Linked DNA regions of Drosophila melanogaster. The gene in region 2 interacts genetically with the main gene of each other region. Each region holds a gene or a part of one and is shown on either strand. Other genes may lie near its edges.

Evidence for each region.
Region 1: of alph (region 2) and RasGAP1, changing one enhances a phenotype caused by changing the other (phenotypic enhancement), as found in Drosophila melanogaster (one study listed by BioGRID).
Region 3: of alph (region 2) and PTP-ER, changing one enhances a phenotype caused by changing the other (phenotypic enhancement), as found in Drosophila melanogaster (one study listed by BioGRID).

What each region holds. Positions count from the first base shown.
Region 1 is NT_037436.4:9,852,286-9,858,202, forward strand, and holds the start of RasGAP1 (Ras GTPase activating protein 1), read right to left. Parts: upstream 3,001-5,917; 5' UTR 2,528-3,000; coding exon 2,380-2,527; intron 1-2,379. UniProt on the Drosophila melanogaster protein: Inhibitory regulator of the Ras-cyclic AMP pathway. May function as a negative regulator of Ras85D/Ras1 in the sev signaling pathway. Acts cell autonomously in cone cell precursors as a negative regulator of R7 photoreceptor cell determination.
Region 2 is NT_033777.3:29,588,577-29,596,071, reverse strand, and holds the start of alph (alphabet), read right to left. Parts: upstream 4,242-7,495; 5' UTR 3,905-4,241; intron 2,979-3,904; exon of another isoform or gene 2,801-2,978; 5' UTR 2,722-2,800; coding exon 1,909-2,721; intron 1,846-1,908; coding exon 1,728-1,845; intron 1-1,727. Other genes in the region: CG31041 (uncharacterized protein), read left to right, coding at 5,190-5,564, 5,702-5,923; CG11470 (uncharacterized protein), read left to right, coding at 6,310-7,002.
Region 3 is NT_033778.4:21,618,821-21,627,291, forward strand, and holds PTP-ER (protein tyrosine phosphatase-ERK/Enhancer of Ras1), read right to left. Parts: upstream 5,627-8,471; 5' UTR 5,418-5,626; coding exon 2,511-5,417; intron 2,454-2,510; coding exon 1,227-2,453; 3' UTR 501-1,226; downstream 1-500. Other genes in the region: clt (cricklet), read right to left, coding at 1-42, 96-152; mahj (mahjong), read left to right, coding at 6,376-6,785, 6,845-6,995, 7,118-7,936, 7,996-8,268, 8,334-8,471.

The DNA.
Region 1 (5,917 bases), on a different chromosome or scaffold from region 2:
TTATGCGCTAAACATTTTAATTAAGTGGAAAAGTATTACGCCAATTTTGGACGGACGTTTCGTGTAGAAATCGCAACGAGCAACAAAATGGAAATGGAAAGCCCCCACAACAATAGCAACAAAAGCGAAACTCCGTGTGTAATTGAAACTGAGCACGATGTGGAAGTATTATTATTAAGCATGCAAAGCATAATGAAGTGGAAATATGATACTTGGGAGAAGAATGCAGGGTGTACATACATATACATACATAGATATGTATAGCGCTTATAACGATATATAAATACGTACATATATCACGTTATAAAGCGGATGGGAAAGAAGCTGACTGTTGATGGGCAATAGAGGTGACACAGCAGCTAATGTGCTATAATGATGCGATAATCAATGATGATTATGGGAAATGAATAACTTTCATTCTTCAATCATTAGAAAACGTGATCGTGAGCCGTTTGAAATCGCATTTCTATATCTTTAGTAGAGTTTTTAAGAGGGAAAACTATAAATAAATAATAGTGAGTTCCCAATAATACTTCTATAAAACTAGAGAATATGGTTAAATTTCCTGCTCGATAGGTATTCCCGATCCATAACACAGCATTTTTTAACATTTTAGAGGCATTTTTGAATGGCAATTCCTTTAGATATGGTGTTGTGTAATAACTACTCAGGATTTTTAATGAGATCAGATATGTATCTTGGGAAGCTGTGGTCGATCCTTAACGGAATTTTTGCAGGTAAAGAGGGTAAACATGAACCACAAAGGCGAACGAATGAAATGGAGGTAAAAAGGTGACAGCTAATTTGCCATAACAACCCGATAATCGAAGGAAGTGCATAACTTTCGTTCTTCAATCAGCGCAGAAACGTGTTTTAATTCATTTTTAACCAATATTGTGCCATCTTCTTCGCAGAACCCAAAAGGGTTAAAGCAGCTGGAGAAAGAAGGGAATGTGGCAAAAGGAAGTGTCGAGAGGAGAGGAGGGTGCGAAGAGAAGATCCCGACAAAGACAGAGGCGCATGCGAAAACAATTGAAGCGTGCAAAAAGCAGTTGAAGAGGGGAAGACACGGAAAAAAAGAAGAGCAACTGAAAAAAGCAAGAGTTTTATGGCCGGAGAAAAAGAACACAAAACCGCAACACACGAAGGGAAACTCTGGGCGCTGGGAAACGGAAATCAAAAGCGGCAAGGCAACAATGTTGTTGCAGCTTTGCATATAATTTATGTTGAAAAAGCATAGCAAAAGCTGCTTATGAGTTGCGAGATTGAAAATGTGAGAAGCAGAAGAGGTAAAAATAAATGCGTGTGCAGGTGTGAAAATGAGATCACGGGAACTTTTGAACCCCCCCCCCCCCTCCCCGCACAGTACACACAGCCAGTGGTTATTCATAATTCTGTTTTACTTTTTATGTTTCAACAGGAAATGTAAAACCACCAAAAAACAACCGCAAGTTTATTTTTCGTCTATCTCTTGCAGTCTGCTTCGCTCTCGCTTCAGAATGAAGTGGATGGCAGAATGGAGAGGAAAAGTGAGAGAGCGTCATTCATTCATTTGACCTCTTGCCAATATATAGTAGGCCATTAATCGATGCTCTTTTCGCTTGTTGCTTTTGATAATCATTCATAAAACAGACACCTTCGTATTGAGAAAAGTACACCGAATTCGAAAATTCCATTCATAAAAAAACCCACACATTGTTGCTGGGATCTCTCTGCCGCTTGTGTGTGTGCGTTTGTCGCGTGTGTGTGAGCATGCGCTGGAGCGTCTCACAGACACATGCTTGATTTCCGATTCATTCACAAAAAGGGGCGCATTCAAAACTGCGGGGGGTGTGCTGGGCGATGAAGGAGGAAGAGCGGTTCTGGGGGTGGGTCAAGAAGCGAATGCCGTAACATTCAGCCTGGTCATCCATTACTTCTCAAACGGCAGCAACAACAAATGTATTGCACTGCTGCTGCACGAAAAAAAAACACACACACACAGGGAAAAAGGCAACAGAAACACACACGCACAGAGCAACACGCGAGTCAGAGCGGGACAGCATGCTTATACACTTGAACGCAATATGCATTTCTAGAACAAAAACACATTTGTTTTCTCAATTAATCGACTTTCTTTGCCTCAACTCGCACAAATTTCGGTTTGCCATTAGATTACACAACATTTTGGAAAACTTTTAGACATATTCTCCCGATTCTATGTTGTTTTCTGCTTGGAAGAGGCTCCGCGGGGCAAACGGCGACGCTGTCAAAATTCCAGCACACTTTGGAACATAAAAAACGCACGTTGCTGCGCGTATTTCACTCAACGTTCATGCCACGCATGTTCTTCGACATATTTTTGATGTTTTTGAACGATTTCGCACTCGATTTACATACCAATTTTCACTTTTAATTGCTCTTCAATGCGCACTTCGCGTGTATCGGCCATTTTGTTGTTGTTGCTGCTTGGCTCGACGGCGACGGGCGAGTTAATATTATTGTCGTCTCGCTCGTCGAACATATAGCGCTTCTTCTTCAGCAGCATTGTGCGCTTAAAGCAGCCAGCTTTTTGTCAGCTACCCACTGGGGAACTTGCAACACGCGATTGGAAATTTATCTAACTCCTTCACTCGATCTTCACGAAACTTTAATAACTCGAAATTATTTGTTTTTCTTTAACAGGTTTATTAGCCGGCTATTTGCATTTGAATTTCATCACTCGCTGCAGCGTTGCATTGTGCATTGAGCTGGTGTGACGGGAATATGAGTCGATTTGCCGCTCACGAAATGCACTTTCCCTGTTGCTTCAGGGCTCGACTGATTTTAGTATTTCGTTTTAACTACAAACTGTTTTTTGCACGCACTAGCAGACGTGGGATTATATTATCGAAGTATGGAAAGTAATTCGGTTGCTTGAATCAGAATCGCAAAAACTTGGTTCTCCGAGTTTATTTGCTTTGCGGGTTTACACGCATCCGCGAACAACCTTTCGAAGCGGAATCAGAACTAGAGTGACCGTAGCGAGACGGTTGTATGACTCCAACGAATTAGTGTGACCTTAGCACGGTGCCCCGAAAATACCACGGGAAACGCAAATGATTAATGTTTGCTTAATAATTTGTTTGAAGCAGATATGTTTTAAAATAATTTTTTTATTTTATTCAACAACGGCTTATGCTTATTAAGTTAAGCACAACAGTAAGGTTTTCATTAAAAATGTTTAAGTTTAATTTCGATATTTCACCAGTTCTGGCTATCGAATATATATCGTTAGCTCCAACAAACAGTTATATATTTTGTAATTTATTTAAAATTGATTATTATTAAACACTGAATTTTTGGTTTTTTTTATTTTAACTTGAGGTTTAATTGATGTTTTTATTAATTCCGATTGGTTTTTAGTTGCTTAACTTTGAAACACACTCCGAATTACGAACGTGTTGCAGGTCGGCCGAAATGGAACTGAATTAAAATTTCCAAGCGGCAAGTGTACACATGCACCTCCCAAAAATTTTGTGAATGAAAACGCACACACGCAGCAGCGGTCACCTACACTTAAACACACACACATGTTGCACCGGCGCCACCAACAGCGGAAACAACCGAAGATCGCCGGCAGAGAAAGTCGAGGCATATGCGACTTAAGAAGGGCGGTACAAAGCAATAAAAAACCCTGTTTTGTTTATGATCGATCGTTAAGGAATTATATCAGAAAGCAATGTTTATTTTTAAATTCAACCAGTTTAAGATTCATATCTATTCCAATAACCATGTATCAATAGCTAGTTATGCTTAGCAAAGTAAGTAAAAATCAAATGCCCGGCTGTTTATACCGTAGCGCACATTACGTGGGCGTTCTGGATCGCAGACAGTCCACAGGAACCCGAGGAACTACATAGTACACACATATGTACATTAAAAGTACACAAATATTCAGAAACAAGGCAGTGAAATGTGAAATTCACACGGCATCCGGACAGCAACGCCGCTTATGTTTTTCTTTACGCATATGTTGCTTCTGCTCCTTGCCTTGGAAACCACATGCATCACAACAACAACAAGAACAACAACTGGCAGGGAGAGATCAACAAGTGAGGCGGTGCATCTTATCACAACTGCCGCCAATAAGTGGAAGTGGTCGGGTCAACATTTCGGATGGTTGCTCGGCTGGGTTTCATTGTTTTCGTATGCCCTGCATTTGATCTAGTCACTTCAACTGCACTGAGCAAAATAATTGTATATAAAATAAATTATAATTGTAAATACTATAACACAGTTATAGTTTATAGTAATTGTAATAATTTAAAGAGACTTATCGAAAATTAACATTTCCCTTTAGTATATGCTTTTAAAGTGTATCATAATATTTGTTAAGAACGTTCACAATGCTATTTTCTGTGTAGCGTGCGTAACGACCATTTGAATATGTTGATCATTTCGCTCAACGAAACGTAACCGACGTGGGAAGAAGAGGAGACAGGGCTTTTCTTCTTTTTTTCCGTTTCCAGCTGTCCACTCGATTCCTCCTCCTCCTCCATTTGCCCCGCCCACAAAATTCGAAGCTAGGCGCAGATGTTATAAATATAGTATTTTGTGGCATTTCCATTCGTATGAATGGGTCTACGAGTTTCGGTTTCAGGTTTTTGGGCCTGTTTATAAACCCACTCCTCCCATATTTTCTCATATTTATGTCCGGAAAAGTGTTTTGGTCATTTGTCTAGCTTCCGTTATTATTTCGTTATGAATGAAAAACCCATTTGGACCGGGTTTTTTGATCTCCCTAATTTACAACATTTATTTAGTATTAACTCGATCTTGACGTCAATATGGGTTCGTAAACTTCGTTTACTATTTGCGTCGTGAACAAGTTTCTTAAAACGTTTAGTTTTTCTTATCCACCTCATGTTAATGTGAAGTTTACACATAAATACTCATAAAAGACCCCAATGTGGGTTTTCCTAATCGCACTTTGAATACATTTAAACGGCAAGAGGAAAAGGCTGTTAAATAGATTTATAGATGATTTTCAAGCTTCGATTTTTTTTGTTGAATTTATGGATTTTAAAATATATACCAATCAAGGGCAATTAGTATATCAAAACCGTTTGTCATAATGCATTAATAGACTTGGCAACACCAAACTTATGTTAAAATGAAGTTTCAAGTTGTATCTAAGTAGAAACGTTTTCAGTTTGATTTTCTGAAAAGGATTTTCTAGATTATTTGATTGTCAGATCCTCACCACAAACCAGATTCACTCAGAAGTCCTCTCAGTTATTTAGTTACAGATTTCGGCTTGATCTGCGGATTAAGTCAAATGGCCGTTTGGTTTTTCGTTTATTGTTCAGAGAGTGTTTACACGCATATGGTTTTTTTTTTTGTTATAGTATACAATAGACACTTAACGATTTCCAAGTAATGTAGTCATTTAGTTAAATGTAATGTAGCAAATTGTTAGGTGTCCTCTTGAGTTGCGATTGCATCATTATTACATAACTTGATTTCTTTTTGTTTTTGGCGCGCTAAACGTAAAGCTTAAAATGTAATCATGTTTGTTGATTGTTTGCATAAACAATAAGCCTTAAATGAAATACTTAATAAAAAGATCGCATAAAACAATGTGTGTTTTCTTTTGTGTGTGGGTGTGTATGTGTGTGCTTGTGTGTTTGAGAGCGTTGGTCGCATTTGGCAGCTTTGTGGGTTTAGGATCGGGCGCAGGATCTCAATCTCCTCCAGCTGCTTGTCACAATGCCAACTCCAGCTCAACGGCAGCCAAATTAGGAAACGATAAACAAACTGCAACGAAAAGAAAGCAGTTGATTAGTATCACTAGTCTGAAAAAATATTAAAACCAATATTCCGAACCATTTGACATATAATTAAGGTATTGTAAACATTATTGCTTCTAATCTTGTGAGTGACTAAGATCACAAAT
Region 2 (7,495 bases):
TGGATCACCAATTTACCAGGGCACCCAAGTACAAATATTTCGGGGAAGTTGCTTAGATTGAATGGAATATGTCTGATCGATTTGGGTGGAGTAATCGTTTGCCTTCGGTTAACAACAAGCACAACAGTTGGTGAGCATAAGGTTTACAATTCGGTTTCGTTAACCTACGTATACATTCTATAACATTTCAACTCCTTTGGCTACTCTACTCTAGGCTAAGTAATTCGTCTGGACACTGGACATTGGTTTATTGCTTAGCCTAAATAATTTCTAAATGGGTTAGCTACTGTGACCAGTGGTGGGCAATGCATGCTCTAAGTCTATTCACTAACTGGCTAATTGTAAATCGTACGAATTCGGTCTAAAGTAATTGTCTATATCAACAAGGTCGGCCTGCGGGTTTTTGGCCGAGTTTCACTTTGGTGCCTCGAATACTGAAGTCTCGGATAAACACCACCAAGGGTTATTCATTGCTTTAAATACGTAATTCAAGTAATACGACTACAGTTCATCTGAGCGGTTGCTAGTTAATAAAATATATGTTTTCATTGCTTCTCAAAGTTTTTGTCAGCTATTCAGCTTATTTACATTTCTATCTACAACTAATCTTCTCTGAAGACATTATACTCTCCTATTTGATTTTGCTTAGAAATTAAGATTTAATTCGCTACTCCTACTTAGATACATCAATTCCAAGTGTTTGTTTTGAGTGTCAATACCTGCGTACGTTAAGTATTGCAATTTCGTTTGATTGATTCACATCGCGCCTAGTATCAAATGGGGTATACGTATATGCAAGTAAATGTATATACAAATTGGTTGACGGGTCATTTAACTACTTAGCTCGGGCAGGTTCGTCGATAATTGTTATTATTTAGGTGTATATGTACGACTAAAGCTAAATGGGCTGGATTTCGCATACATGGAACGCTTTTGGCAGTGGCTGTAGTGCACACAGGCATGTATAAATAATACTATAACTCAGGCTCACACACGGGGCAGACGAACACTGGTCAGCCACACGCACAGCCACCAGATATGACAAACTAACACGCTATACAGGTATTTGCTATGCATTAGTGATAGGATATTGGTCGAACGCCCACACACACCCCATTTACATATTTATACAGGCAAATATCGGTGAAAGCTCTCTAAGGGAATATATAACTAAATGTACGTGATGTCTAAGCACTAAGAATATGAGCATAAATGAGCCACATTATGTAGAGTATACAACATTTATATAGCACTCTTGTAAAAAAAAAAAAACGGACTTCAGCCTTTTTGCTGTTGATATGAATTTGTAAATTCGAAAGGTTTCAAATAAGTATTAGAAATACACATATAGATTATCAGTGCCTATTATTATCCATCCAATAGAGCTTTCACTGTACTTGAGGTGGGTGTGCGAGGAGTTCATTCTTGGCATTAGTAATGGCAATGGTTTGGTTTTCGTTTTGGTATTGTTTTTCGTTTTGGAACTACTTCGGAAAGGAATTGTTTTGTAAGATTCTAGTTTTGGACAAAGTGGGGCATATACAGCTCTAGAAGCACTTTGGGTCGGGACTGTAGGCCATCGAGGAGCCCATATAAAGTACTCGTGACGCTCAAGGTACAAAATATACGTATTTCGGTTCAAAAGAGACGCGAAGACGGAGGAGACCACTACGCCATGGGTCAACAGTTTACGATTAGTTATAAACAGAGTAGACGACTAAGACAACCTCTTGTGATCTTCTCGATTTGCTTTTCCAGACGATGTTCAGCCTCTATCGCCTCCTCGGTGGGCTTCGGAGCTCCGGGGAAGGCAATGATGATGATGCTCATGTTGTCGCGGCTACCCTGTAGTCAAGAAATGAACAGCATGTGAAAACTTTGACGATATGCATGGTAATCAAGACTCACCTTGTGCAGGCAGGTGTCCACGACCTGGTTGGCGATGCTCACTAGGTTACTGGTCACCCGCATTCGCGAGTGGATGAAGCTGCACACGTCCTCGTTGGACATCACATCCCAGATTCCATCGCAAGCGAGCACCAGGAACTCATCGCTATCCTGGCGGCTCTGACAGAATATCTCCGGTTCCGGCGATACCAACTGCTCGCACTGTCCCTTCTCCTTGACGTTCTTAAAGTCGTAATCCCCAAGGGCTCTCGACACTGCCAGGGTACCATTTACGCGCTTTATCATAACACTGCCACCCGCATTATAGATGCGCTCTTTCTCCTCCGGCAGAATGGGTTTGTGATCCTGCGTGGCGAACACCGGAACACCCTGGCGGCACAAGACGGCCCTCGAATCACCACAATTGGCGATGTACACTTGCGTGAGGCCGACAAAGGCGCACACGGCGGTAGTTCCGCCGCATTTCTCCGACTCCCGGGTGAATTCCGGCAGTTCCCGCATAACCTCGTCGATGCGCAGGAAGCCGGTGCGAATGCCCTTCACGTGGTCGCCTCCAATGAATTCCTCGGTGCTAATAATGCTCTCCAGAAGGTGCTTGGCACAGTGCTCCGACACCTTGCATCCGGCATGCCCGTCGAACACGGCAAAGAAGCTCCAGTCCGGCAGGGCATCCCCCAGCCCGGCACGAGCGTAGTAGGCGTCCTCCATCTCCGACCGCCATCCCTGCATCGAGCTGACCCCGAAGAGCAGCTTGTTGCCCTCACCCTCGTCATTGTGCTTGGCGGTTTTCGGCTTATCCAGGAATCCGCCCATGTTCACTGAACATGCTGTGTGCTGTGTGCCGGGCGGGTGCAATTTCTCCTCCTCTTACGGCTAGCCGGTGCCAAGGAATCTACGGATCGAGGACACAAGGGTATGCAACCATTAAACGACTGCCAATCAATATCAACCAGCAAGACCTTGAACTTGAACTTTCACCAGCGGATGACTAAGCAAAGGTCATGCCAAAATAGATAGTTTATAGTTTTCCACACACAAATAATAAACTGAATACTGTGTCTGAATATTCCTGTAAATGGTATCTGGATTTTTCTGACACAAACGGATGTGCAAGTCTCGGCTTTTGTAAAACCATTTCATTTCATAGAAATTTCTACGGAAGTTAAGTTGACTCATGGCAGTTTGATTTCAGCTGAACATGAAATAATTATTTGCTATACTCTTTCTAATTCTCGACCTGTATGAGTCGTAAACGCATCTTGACCGTCAGTAGGATGCTGGTAGAAAATCCAAAATAAGTATTATCTATTGATTTGAATACTTTTACTATAACTTGTGTTATTTTAACCTGTTTTAACCTGAACTGTTGAGACTGAAGGACTCCAAATATAAGGTACTAACTACATATATATAAACCGGCAAAAACATGTGAATTCCGAACTGGAATCAGCTGGCGCTTCATAATTAATATACATATACATGCTCATACATATGTACAGGGTACATTTGCGGGGCTTCCCCCTGTTGAGTTTTGCACTTGTGCCACAGAACAATAACTGTAAGCCGACTGCAAGGACATGGAAAAAAGCGCAAACACAAATGGGGGCGGGGCGGAAGACCTCGCGGCAGCTGCCCGCCCACGCTTTTCACCGCTATTTCCTCTGTGTCCCGCGCTTTTTTGCATTTCCTTTTGACACATCGATTTATCAAGGACGCGGCTTCGTCCTTCCGCTTGGCCGACTAAATTTAGCACTCGAAAGTGGGCGTTAAATACATTTTGTGGAAAATGTGGGGAAAATTGCGCGCAACAGCATCCATATCCCATTCACAAAAAAAAAATTTGTTTAGTGGCCAGCAAGTTGGCAGCACCGATTTCAGCAGGGGCGGGGGGTGGTGGAAATCCGGCATGGCCACCAAAAAATGGGAGGTAATGAAAACGCACTCGCGATTTATGATCTTCGGTGCTGGGAAAACCTTCGCCTCTCGTTATTTTCACCTCGCAAATTTTAAGTTTGATGATCTGCTTCTTCTTCCTCCGCTTGCTGCTCTTCTCTCCGCGTGCGAGTGGTTGTGTGTGTGCGAGTGCGTCGGTGAGCTGCGTGCGTGTGCGTGTCTGCCGTAAGTAAAAGTTTAAGAAGAAAAAACGATCGTTTTCCACTTGATTTTCATCGCCTACTAGCGCTTTTAAGATCAACGAACGAGTCGCGCACTTAATAACACTTCTGCGCGATCCCGAAATGCACTTTCGAGGCGGAAATGGAGTTTTTTCTAATATTTTGATTAACAAAGTGACTAGTGATGTAAAAAAGCATCGGGCATCGATGTACTGAGGGCGATACTTATCGATGATATTCGAAGAGCTATTGGCTATCGATAGCAACCGAAGGCACTCTTCTAGCGAATACACGCAACCCACCTAAGCAAGTACACCATCCTATTGGCGATGTTAAGTGCGATGCAGTTAAGAGACACCATCACTCTATGTAGAAACAGATGTTAACAGATGTGTTAAACGAGGTCCTGGCAGTGCACTCAAAAAAATTAGTTGTTCAAATCCACTGCATTTAGTTCTTGTGGCTTCCGCCAGTTTAAGTATGCGTTAATTTATGAGTGTCCATACTCCAAAAGTGCTTCCTGCACGAATTCTTAGAATTGTGTTATCTTTTATAATCTGCAAGTGATTAATACAAATTGCAATACAAAATTTGTGAATACCCTCTTAACTGATAGTAAATGTAATTATTTTAGAGGTGACGTAAATAAAAATTGCGTAGGCATCTATATTTACCATAAACAGAATTCCTGATATGTTTTATATAAAATTGGTGTATAAGCCATGCATTATTAGTATACACGAGCTAAATAATAAAACTATTAATTATTCAAAGAAAAATATCAGCGAAATCTAGTGTCTCTTATTTACTACCTTTCTCTAAACATATATTGTATAACAAGAACACGAAATTATTTTCCATGGTGTTAAATTTCTAAAGTAGATATACATATGTAGCTCTTTGCCTATAATGGGTAAAATATATTTAGTTTATTTGATGGAATGAATATTGTTGAATTGATATTGGGGGTTTCATTGACACCTTTTATTTGAAGAGCTTCCACAAGGCGTCACGATAACGGGGTCTACATCAGGAACTACCCCAGATAGTTTGTGGATCATAAATATTAGTAATCTAGTTGCTGGAATTACTACAGTATAAAAGCCAAGTCTGGGTCTTTGGGCCCCACACTCCAGTTGTCCAGTTCTCCAAGTGTCGAAAGTGAATATGTCGTTCAAGGCCGTCCCCCTTTTGTTGGCTATCGGCGCCGTCTTCGTGGCTGCCGTGCCCACTCCCGTCGAGACCGAGAGGGAGTCCTCGCTGGTGGAGCTCCTGCTCAGTTCTCCGGCCATGCGATCGGATCTCTTCAACGTCGAATGCGTGGACTACTACAGCCCGCTCCTTAAGGGTCACGTGGACAAGTACAACGAGGACTTCACCGCGTGCAAGGACAATTACGACGGGGCCTTCTCCCTGATCGACTCAAGCTACCGCAGTTCCCGCGACGAGCTGTCCGTATCCGTGAGGGACACCTGCCTTTCCCTCCTGACCTGCAATGGCAGGACCTCGAACTCCGATGCCTTCGAGTGCTTGGCCTCTGGGGTGAGTGATTCGTACAATGGTGGCTTAATCTATGATCTTCCACGCATACTCTAATGAGTATTTTAAAGTGTTTTAAGCCGTATTTTGTATAACTTTTTGCGCTTAATAGCATTAATAATATCACCACCCAATCGCAGGGTCCTTCGGCATCCAAGGAACTGGAGAAAGCTTCCTACAACGCATCCGACAACCAAACCAGCCTGCTCGCCGAGGTGTCCGTAATCTCGGAAACGCTATCCAGATGCCAAATCGAAGCCTACCGGACCTACAACACCAACCACGGCGAGTGCTACGCCGACATGGTAGCCTGCCTGGGTGATCCCAACTGGGAGTTTCCCAGCACGAACTACGTGCTCTAGGACTCGAGTCAAGATTCAGATCACCTCGAGCACCCTGTATTCGTGAACTTTTATCGCTGTAAATAAAAGACTTTGAGTGAATATTAATCAAGTTTAAACGATTAAATCCTATACCTCTGAAACTAGCTAAAGGATTGGACGACTTATTCATTATCAGCTCAATATGAAGGTGTTTTTCAAAAGTGTATCAAGAAAGCTTAAAGGTTTTTGGCAGTAAAACATGAGCTTATCTACTCTCGTTTAACATTGCCATCCATCAAACCTTTAGAGCCATCATTATCAGTAATTGAAAATATATAACATTAATGTGTAATTAAAAAGATAATGATAAATGGGAGTATAAATACGTCTGGGTGTCACATCCACCGTCAACTAACCTGGCCAAGATGTTCGCAAAGCAAGCCAAGATCTTGGTCTTCTGCCTTTCCCTGGGCCTCTCGCTGGCTGTGAAGCTGCAAATTCCCTTTAGACCAGACGCCCACATCCAGGAGCTGCAGCTGCAGAGCAGGGAGCTGGCCGAAGTCCACTCAGATCACTCCACGCAGTGCTTCTCGATCTACAAGCCCAAATTGGCCAAAATTGCGGATCAGTTCGAAACTAACTTTACGGCTTGCATCTCGGCCTATGACAATTGCACATCCCATATCAGCGAGAAGTATGCCGAGGATCGCCAGATCCTTCTCAGGTCCGCCAACATCGGCTGCTCGTATCCCAACTCCAATTGCCAGGTCTGGACTCTTGAGCAGCAGCCGCTGGACACCGTGGTCTCCCGCCTCGAATGCGCCTCCACCAACTCGGCCGAGAGCTCCAAGACCTTCTATGCCATTTCGGCCAATGCCACGCAGATTGCAGTTCAGATCCAGGAGCAATATACGATCCTAGAGAGCCGGAAGAGTGTTTGCATCAATGACGCAAATCGCTCCTATGTGGAAGACACCTCCGATACCTACGAGCTTTTGAACAACTGCCTCAAGAACGGACCAACCACCACAACTTGTAATCCATTGACTTACCCTACAACAACCACAGCAACAACAACAACAACAACAATAACAACCGCAGCACCTTTACTTCGTTAAAAGAAAGTCAATCAATAAATATATCAGGCAATTGAATTCTCTGTTTTATATAAATAAATAATATAGGAATGCAAGCTATTCACTGTGGAGCTTAGTTGTTTAATAGATGACAGGATTGAATAAAATATAGAGGGTACCAACTTATTTATGAAAGCATGACAGTACCTAAGATTATTGTATCAGCTATTGTTAATAGCTGCCATACGAAAAATAAAACTATATTAATTTTAATCATAACATCAGTCGGTGAATTATTTAATTTAAAAAAAAAAAATTTAAAAAAATATGCTAAAAAATTCACAGTTTCACGTCTTATAACAAAAACTGCTTTAATCCGTATACATCAGTTTTTATACCCCTTAGTCGTAGAGTAAGGCGGCATACTTGATTCCATGAAGAGTATGTAACACCTAACCGAGTCTATTTGACCATGTCCGCCCATCTGTCTGTCAGTCTGTCCTTATAAGCGTATCTCTACTATAAGAAATCATAG
Region 3 (8,471 bases), on a different chromosome or scaffold from region 2:
TTGCCGGCCCACCAAAACGCCTTGTTTCACTGGCACTTTCACCTACAAACAAGTAATTGAACAATTTTGTTGCGATTTGGAAGCGCACTCATTACCTTCATGCTGCTGCAAAACCTGGTAAAGATTAGTCTTCCACACGGACGAAGAAGCATTGTGAAATCAGCCCGTTACGGGTTTCCTTAACAATCTAATCGGCAATTATTCGGCAATCTCAAAACCTGAATCTGAAACACTGAACTTTGTTCGTCGAAATCAGCTGTTTGAGGCGCTTAACCCTTAGCTGGTGCTGCATGAGTGATTTTCGACGTCAATTAGTTCAAGTTGTAAATAGAAAATATAAACATTTAATTTACTTTAACTTAAAGCTCTAATTAAAAGATGTAATTTTGAGTACTGGAGAATTTCTTGTTAATGTCAAAAAAGTAACTCATCGCAATTTCCCTTTACTTAAAAACGTTAAGAACAACAAAATAAAACTGCCAACTTTACACATTAAGGTTACATTTAAAATGTTTCTAATTTTTATTTGACTAGTTCCATTGCATAAACTTAAATACATGTTCATTTATGGGTTTCCATTTTACTTATCGAATTTTTATCTTGTGTTTTAAATGAACTCGTGTCCGTATTTTGGTCCACGTCCGGCGGTCGAGCTGTCCGCTTGGGATTGGAGAAATTGGTGTTTAGTCAGAAGGACCCAGGGAAGGATCCAACTTGAGAAAGGTTTGAGCTTTCTCCGCCTCCAAGCAGGATGCACAACTCACCGAGGGGCGTCGACGAACGTCGCGAGTCATATATAGATGCGCATCTTTATGGTAAGGTATGGTTTTGGTAAGGTAAGGTAGGGTATAATAATTGTTAATTAACTTTAGTTTAAGCATAGTTCACACCAAAAGTCGGAAACATTTACACTTATGTACACATTTAACACACATACATCCAACACTTAATAAACATTTATATATATGTAGAATATGTGGTAATAGTAATATTTAGAAAACATTGAAAGCATTCCGTCAATCCTCCTTCGGAGAATGCCATCATATTCCATTTTCGAGACTCTTTTAGCCATGGTTTCTTGTTTTACTTGTTGCTTGTCCGTCGCGGTTGCTTTCATTAAAATAAGGGCCACAAAAATTGTGATTACAAATAGTAAATTGGTGTTTTGTTCTTCATCTCCATCGTTTTGTCGTCAAAAAGTTGTTGATCATGGTTTTCGCTCGCTTTTAAAATCGCCTCAACGCCAGTGTGCGTTTCAGGTAGAGGCAAATGGCCCGATGGATGAGCTCATACTGCTCCGAGTTCTGGACCATCCCGCCCCGCTGCAGGCGAAGATTGCAAACGATGCCCAGGACGTCCACGAAAATGTCCGGCATCTTGGGCAGACGGTCAAAGGATGGCGGCGTCTTAACCGCCTCCGCATCGCGATGATCCAGAATGTGGCTGATGTGCCGGATGGTGTTGCAAGTAAAACTGCTGTCGCTGTCCGTTGGGTTATGGTACTCCTCTGTCGAGCTGCTGGTCAGCGATTTGGTGAGCATTCCTGTCAGCGAGTAGGCCAACGACTGCCGCAACTGGCGCACTGCATTCAGGATGGCCGTGAAGCAACCGGTGCGCCCAATTCCAGCCGAGCAGTGGATGACGGGAAGGGGCTGGACTGCATTGAAGATGTCCTGCTGGTAGATCTCCAGCCGCTGAGCAGCCAGGTGGGCATTCCTCTCGCTCCTGGTGTCATCGTAGATGTCAAACTCCGACTCACACTTTCCAAGGTTGAGTACATGCAAGCAGGTGTCCAGCAGCGTGTTGATGTCCCGAGGCGAGTGATGATCCGGCCAGTCGGGATACCAATAGTGGTAGCAGTAGATTTTCTGCAGGTGGTAGCTAGCACTCTGTGGCACACGAATGCAATAGAGCAGCACCAGCTTTCTCACCGAGTAACCATTTCTTCGCACAATGCCGACGTTTTTAATGAGGAAGAAGCTTCCCTGGGCGGGCAAAGCCTCCAGCAGATCCCCTTCCAGCGTCACCTTCACCGACTCCACGCCTATGTGCCGGCCACTTATCTCATAGTCGATCGCATCCGAGGAAGCCACCACAGTGTCCGGCACAAAGGTGGGCGTTAAATACCGATCGAAGTAATCCCGGGCAGCCGCACTCAGCTGAAACACTTCACACTTGGCGGCCACCGCGAAGATCTCATTCAATTCGATGGGGAAGTAGACGGCGCACTTCTGCCGGTTCGCTTCCGTGAAGTTTGTGAGCATGACAATCTTCTGGAAGTACTGCTGCAGGATTTGCTCCCTGTCAACGTGAGGACTGCTGCTGCTGCCTCCATCCACGCACCGTCTTATGTAGCGCTGCGTGTTCTGGTATATCATAAGCCAGAACTCGAAGATTGTATTGGGCAGTGGACCCTGCGTGGCCACATAGCACTTCGACACGTAGTCGGGTCCCTGAAATGAAGGAAATATATACATTACTTTCATTGGATTTGCGCTTAGTTCCATTACCTTGATGTAATTGGCATTAATGTAGGGCAAGTCCTCGCTAGCGGTCACGGAGCTGGTCCGTTTTATTTCCCCCAGCAAGCTAGTCAGCTCGCTGGACTCGGATTCGAGTAGCACGCGAGAGTTCTCGTTTGGCAAGATAGTCTTGTAGCGATTTTTTGTCTGCGAGCCGAAGACCATTGGCTTCTCTTGGTGATTGAGCGGCAGGTCCCAGAACTCCTTGTGCAGATCCCGAAAGATTCTCTTTTGTTCGTTTTCTTTCAGTTCCGGTATTGGTTGCGCCATCCTACTAACCACTGTCTGGTAGGACGCGAGCAGTTCACTGTCCTCCGAGCTCGGGGGCACCATATCCGTGGGTGTCTCCACATCCCGTGCGTTGGAGCCCAGCACCGGCGGCTGCTCTATGATGTTCCTATTCGTCTGGTAGCTGTGATCGAACACGTAGTTCAGCCGGATAAGATCAAACTGATTAAGTGGATTGGAGGCGCTCTGCAGCATCTGTATGCTGGCCAAGTAGATCTTGAACTCCTCGCTAGTCGTTTGGGGCGACAGAGGACGGGTCATAATGTTGCGTACGGTGCCAGCGCAAGTGCACGTCGCGCCAATGGCCTGATCTTCCCTCACCGAATCCTGCTGAGGATTGGGTTGCAAGTCCGAGGCGGATCCGAAACATACCTGCCCGAAGAACTTTTGGCTATTGGCTTTACTGCTGTTCAAGTTCTCAGTGCTAAAGAATTTGCGCTGATGCGGGGCTTGGTTGGCGGCAGCACAACTGCAAACCGTGACTTTCGGTTGCACGATGTCCGTCATCTGGATCTCGGTACCTGCTGCTCCTCCCAGTATGCTGCCCATGTTGAGAGTGAGGCTTTGATTGGAGCCACGACGTTCTAAAAGTCCTCGTTTCGGAGTAGGTACATTGGATCCAGAGCCCGATCCCGAGCCGGTGGAATTGGTTCGCATATTGAGTCGGTTGTACTTTTCCGCACTTAACATTGCCTGTTGCTGTTGGAGCTGCTGCATGGAGTTTAGATCTCCACACGATGTTGTAGTGTGCCCCGTCTTCAGGGTGATACTGTGATTTGATCCCCGCCTCCTGAACAACCCCTGCCGACTACCCTGGCTGCTTCCCAGCAGATGTGACTGTGGCAATTGATCCGCTCGAATTTGGCTGGCGGTTCCCGCATCCAAATTGCAGCTGGACTTGGAGTTGAGTATTGAGCCCAGGCTATAGTTGGAATGACTTAGTCCACTGTTCATTAGGTTGCCACAAGAGCTGTGCAGGTTGAGCGTTAAACTGTGATTGGATCCCCGACGCTGAAGGAGATTCATCGATGATGTAGACACTGTGGTCTTTGCCTGGAGTGTCGGCATCGGCAAATCCATTGACTTCTGCTTGAAAGGCGATTCCTTAGGACCACCGCCAGAGGAGGAGAACTCCACCAGGGTAAGGCACTCGGGAAGCGTTTTTAAATTTGTGCTGGACGAGTGCAGTAACTGATTGTGCTTGTGGGCGCTTCTCGGCGCTAGGCTTGCGCCTATTCCAAACTTCGAGCCACCGTCCACGCTACAGGCGGACTTCAGTTCAAAGTCCCCCAAACTGGGGGTTAAACTGGCGTCCGAGTCCAAGGAGCTTTGTGTCGTGGAGCTGCAGTGTGTCGGTTGCACCTGATATGGGTTCTGCTTGCGGTGGTACATAAGCCAGTCAGTGGTGTTGATTCCTGGTGACTTTCTGCGCGGCGTTCGTCTTTGATTGGCCAAGCTTAGGTGACTATCCAGTCGCGAGAGCGATGTTGAGTGGATAGCGGATGCGGGCTGTTGAAGATGAAGGTGATGGTGGATAACACTTGTCGATGGCTGGCTCTGTCCTGTCTCCATGTCATCACAACTGCCATGAGATTCGGTTATGTTGTGCACCACGATTGACAGTTCCGATTCGTTGGCAGCCGAGTCCAGCGAGCGGGCCTTCTCCTTGGTGCTCTTGATAGTCGGTGTCTTGGGCTTGGGCAATGGTGATGGCTGGCTCGAGTTTTTTATGGGCACGTCCGTGATGCGAATGGTGAGATTATTTTTATTCTTGCGGTTCTTTCGCCCTTCCGATTTTTGTTGCTGCTGCTCCGGCGGCTCGGCCAACGCAGGACTACGATCCCGACGTGTAGCTTCCTCTAAACAGACTGTATCCATGGGCGCATCCTGCACGACATGATCGATCTCGGGGAAGCGAAAGAAGTTGCCGTTCTTGTAGCCGGCCGAGTTAATAATGTTCAGGGGTGAACCGGACACGTTTAGGTTGTTGATGGAGGATAGTAGTTTCGGGGAGTAGCTTAGGCGACTGGCCTCCAGTCCCGGCGTCGTGGAGGACTCATCCTTAAACAGGATGGTGGGTGAGTTGTGCTCGCTCTTCGACAAGTACAAGCTGTTCTCTAGGTCTTGGTCGACTGACCCGCCCTTGGGCATAGTGTTCTCCTTGTCGATGCCACGGCCACTGACCCGCTCCTCGCCGCTGGAGGTATTAATATGCGGCGAGCAGGATCGGCGATCATACTGTGATAACCTCTTGAACTTGCGGCCTAAAGTGGGAGACTGTGAGCTGGATGGATGGTGGACGTGGGCTGCTGGATGGGGGCTGGTAATGGTGAACTGCCGGGGGGTGAAGACCTCCTCCTCCTGATCCTCGTGCTCGGGAAAGCCCGGAACCCCGCCCCCAACCTCCACCGTGGGCGACGGAAACTCGAAGGACGTCTGCAGGTACTCGAGGGGCGTAAAGTAGGGTGTACTCTTGTTGCTCTCCGCATCCTCGCCAGCTTCAAGTGGGGTCGTGTCGGAGGGGGCGGCGTGGGTGGGACGGGGGGTCTGTGGGTAGGGGTACTCAATGGGTGCATTCTCCTTGTTGTTGTTTCGTAGCTTGTCCATGATACACACACACAATTGCTGAAGCGGGGCGATCGCAGCGCAGTCGCTCCGCCCGTTTAGTGTCTTGTCCTCACTCGATCGGCATTATAACTATCTCGCCCGCACAGTTAGCACTTCCGAATTGGACGCAAATCATGGGGAAAAGAGCGTTTTCTTTTCACAACATTTTCAGAGCTAAAGCATGGAGGGCTACCAGACCGCGTATGTAATCGATCCGGCAATGCCTTCATTGCTTACCGTGCTGCCAGGCCGCAGACTAACTGCACCAAGACCTGGCAACGTTGTACCTAATTTAACCGCATTTTTCAAGTGTCTTTTAAAATAAAAAGAAAGAATAGGTTAACAGATCTAGTGTTTACATCAAGGAGTTGCAGAATTTGTAATGCAGATGTTGTACACGGGCGATAGTTAATTCAATCGATCAACTGAGATGGTATCAGACAATTATATTTTGCATGCATCCAGAAAAATTGTTGTAAAAGATCACAGACTTAGTTCTAAATAGTATTTCAACCTACCTGTATTTTTGTTTATGAAATCACTACAAAGTTGTGAACAATTTAGAAGCAACAACGTAGTGTTCCTATTACCACCGTTCCGTTTACCTCACAGTTGCACGTTGCTCTTTGGCACGCTTTTATCTGTGCATTTGCTTGGAAATAATTAATTGAGTTAGGCATTTAAATCCTTTTGTGTACTTTAGACTTATTTAAAGACCTTTTAGATTGGTTTAATTTGCCGAAAGACGAAAACAAACAAATTTGTGCGACAGCTGACTTCATTATTTCAACGACAATAGCAAAAGGCCACACTAATTTTGCGAAAAGCGCGTGGTATTTAATACCTTATTTATTTGCTTTATTTCGCCATTAGAAGTAAGTTTCGCTGTGTCGAAAATCTAGCAAAGAAAGCCACTGGATCAAGACCTAGTGCATCCAAAACCCAGTAATTCATTTCGATGTCTGAGGGCAGCGGAAGCGAGAATGCGGCCGCAGCAGAGGCTGCGGCCGAGGCAGAGGCCGCGACTGAAGCGGCACTGATGGCTGAAGCTGTGGCTGTGGCCTACCAGAGCGACGAGGAGGAGCAGCCAGAAGCCGAGGATATGCCGGAGCAGGCTGGCGATAACCAGGAAGAGGACGCCGCTGAACAACAGGATGGGGGGGAACCAGAGGCCGACGAAGACGCTGATGCTGACGACGCCATGAGCGTGGAAAATGCGGAAAACGAAAGCGATAGCGGTGGAAACGCCGAGGAAACCGCTGCCGCCGACCGTCGCCAAGCCACCAAGAAGGAGCTCACCCAGATTATCGACAAGTGGGAGCAACAGCAGACCCAAAATGGATACGATCCAGTGCCCACTCTCAGGAGGTAAGCGTGCTTCAAAATCATTAACGCATGGGTCCAACTTAATACCTTTACTATCGCAGCCTTGCGGAGATCTTTGAGCGTGAGAAGGACGTGTATCGGCGCAAGGATCCGGATCCCTTGGACTCACGACATCCATATAGAGCCGATCCCAGCTGCCAGTACGGATTGCTACTCAAGCTGCTCTTTCGGAAGGATACCTTCATGGGCAAAGTAAGAATAAAGTCATGTGATTTTTATTTTTCTAAAAAGCAATGTAAATGTTTTCTTAAAATCAGGTGTTTTAGAATTTCCAAAACATAAGCTAACTAAAGTGAAATATTTTATTTAACTAGCTCCTCAACGATTACCTGCGAGAGAACTATTTCAGTCGCCAGAATGTCAGTCGCAGTTCTCTAGAACTAAACATCTTGGCCTGCCGCCTCATTCTGGAGATAATGCCAGGAATGGAGACCTCTGCAGTATTTCAGACCGCCGAAGGCGATGGAACCATCAATCGCATCTACTCTTGGGCAGAGGACAGCATTGAACCGCTTCAGAGCTATGCCACCGGGCTTTTAGCCGAAGCGATGGAAGTGAGCGACATAGCCATAAACTTTCGCGATCTTAATATTCGATTGGTGCCAAAGATGATCAAGCGTCTGCACATGCTCCTGGCGATCAGCAAGAGCGCCACTTCAGATGTCAATACGTCGATGCACAATCTGTCGGCTGACAGCAGCACGGCGGGCATGCTTAGCTGGGTGGCCTGCGCCAGTAATGCATCGGCTCCTCAATCGCCGCAGCACAATGGCAGTGGGCTGGGAGCAAGTTCCTCGCAGCATGGAGACGCCTCTAATATGTCCATTCTGTTCGAGAACAGCAGAGATGCCTTTTCCGTATCTCGCTATTACAAACGGATGTACATTCCTTTGCACCCGGCCACAGCAGATACCAGCCAAATGTTAATCATGCGCTTCCTGACCAGCCTGGGCGAATATCAAGAGTTCCTAGCCATGGCTTTCGAAAACAATGTGATGCAGCTAATTTTTGGCTACCTGGAGAACTTGGATCGCCGGGACACCTGCTTGGCCTACGAAGTTTTGAAGTATCTGGCTTCCCTTCTTTGCCACAAGAAGTTTGCTTTAGAGTTCATTTCACACGGTGGACTGGAGGTCAGTAAATGGTCTTGTAGAGGGAATGTAATTATTTTTAACTTTACTATTTTTTACAGCTTTTGTTAAAAGTGCCCCGCCCCAGTTTGGCGACTACTGGTGTGTCCATCGCCATCTACTACTTAGCATACTGTGAAGACGCCATGGAACGCATATGCAGTATGCAAAGACCACTTATTTCAGAACTAGTTCGCTACGCGCTTTGGATTCTGGGTCGTTGCCACGACTCCTCAAAGTGCCATGCCACCATGTTCTTCAGTCTGAGCTTCCAATTTAAGGTCATATTGGATGAGTTTGATGCTCAGGATGGTTTAAGAAAGCTGTACAATGTCGTAAGTAAATGGTTTAAACGAAAGAAGTTCGATTAAAGTCAATTACCTTAACTTCTTCCTAATAGATTTCCGTACTAAAAATTCTTGATCCGAGCCACAACGACAGCGATAATGACTCTGATTTCAACGAAGACGTAGAATGTGCTTCCCGACAAATGGTGCGCCACGTCTGCGTAGCCCTCAAGCGCTATATGGAGGCGCAC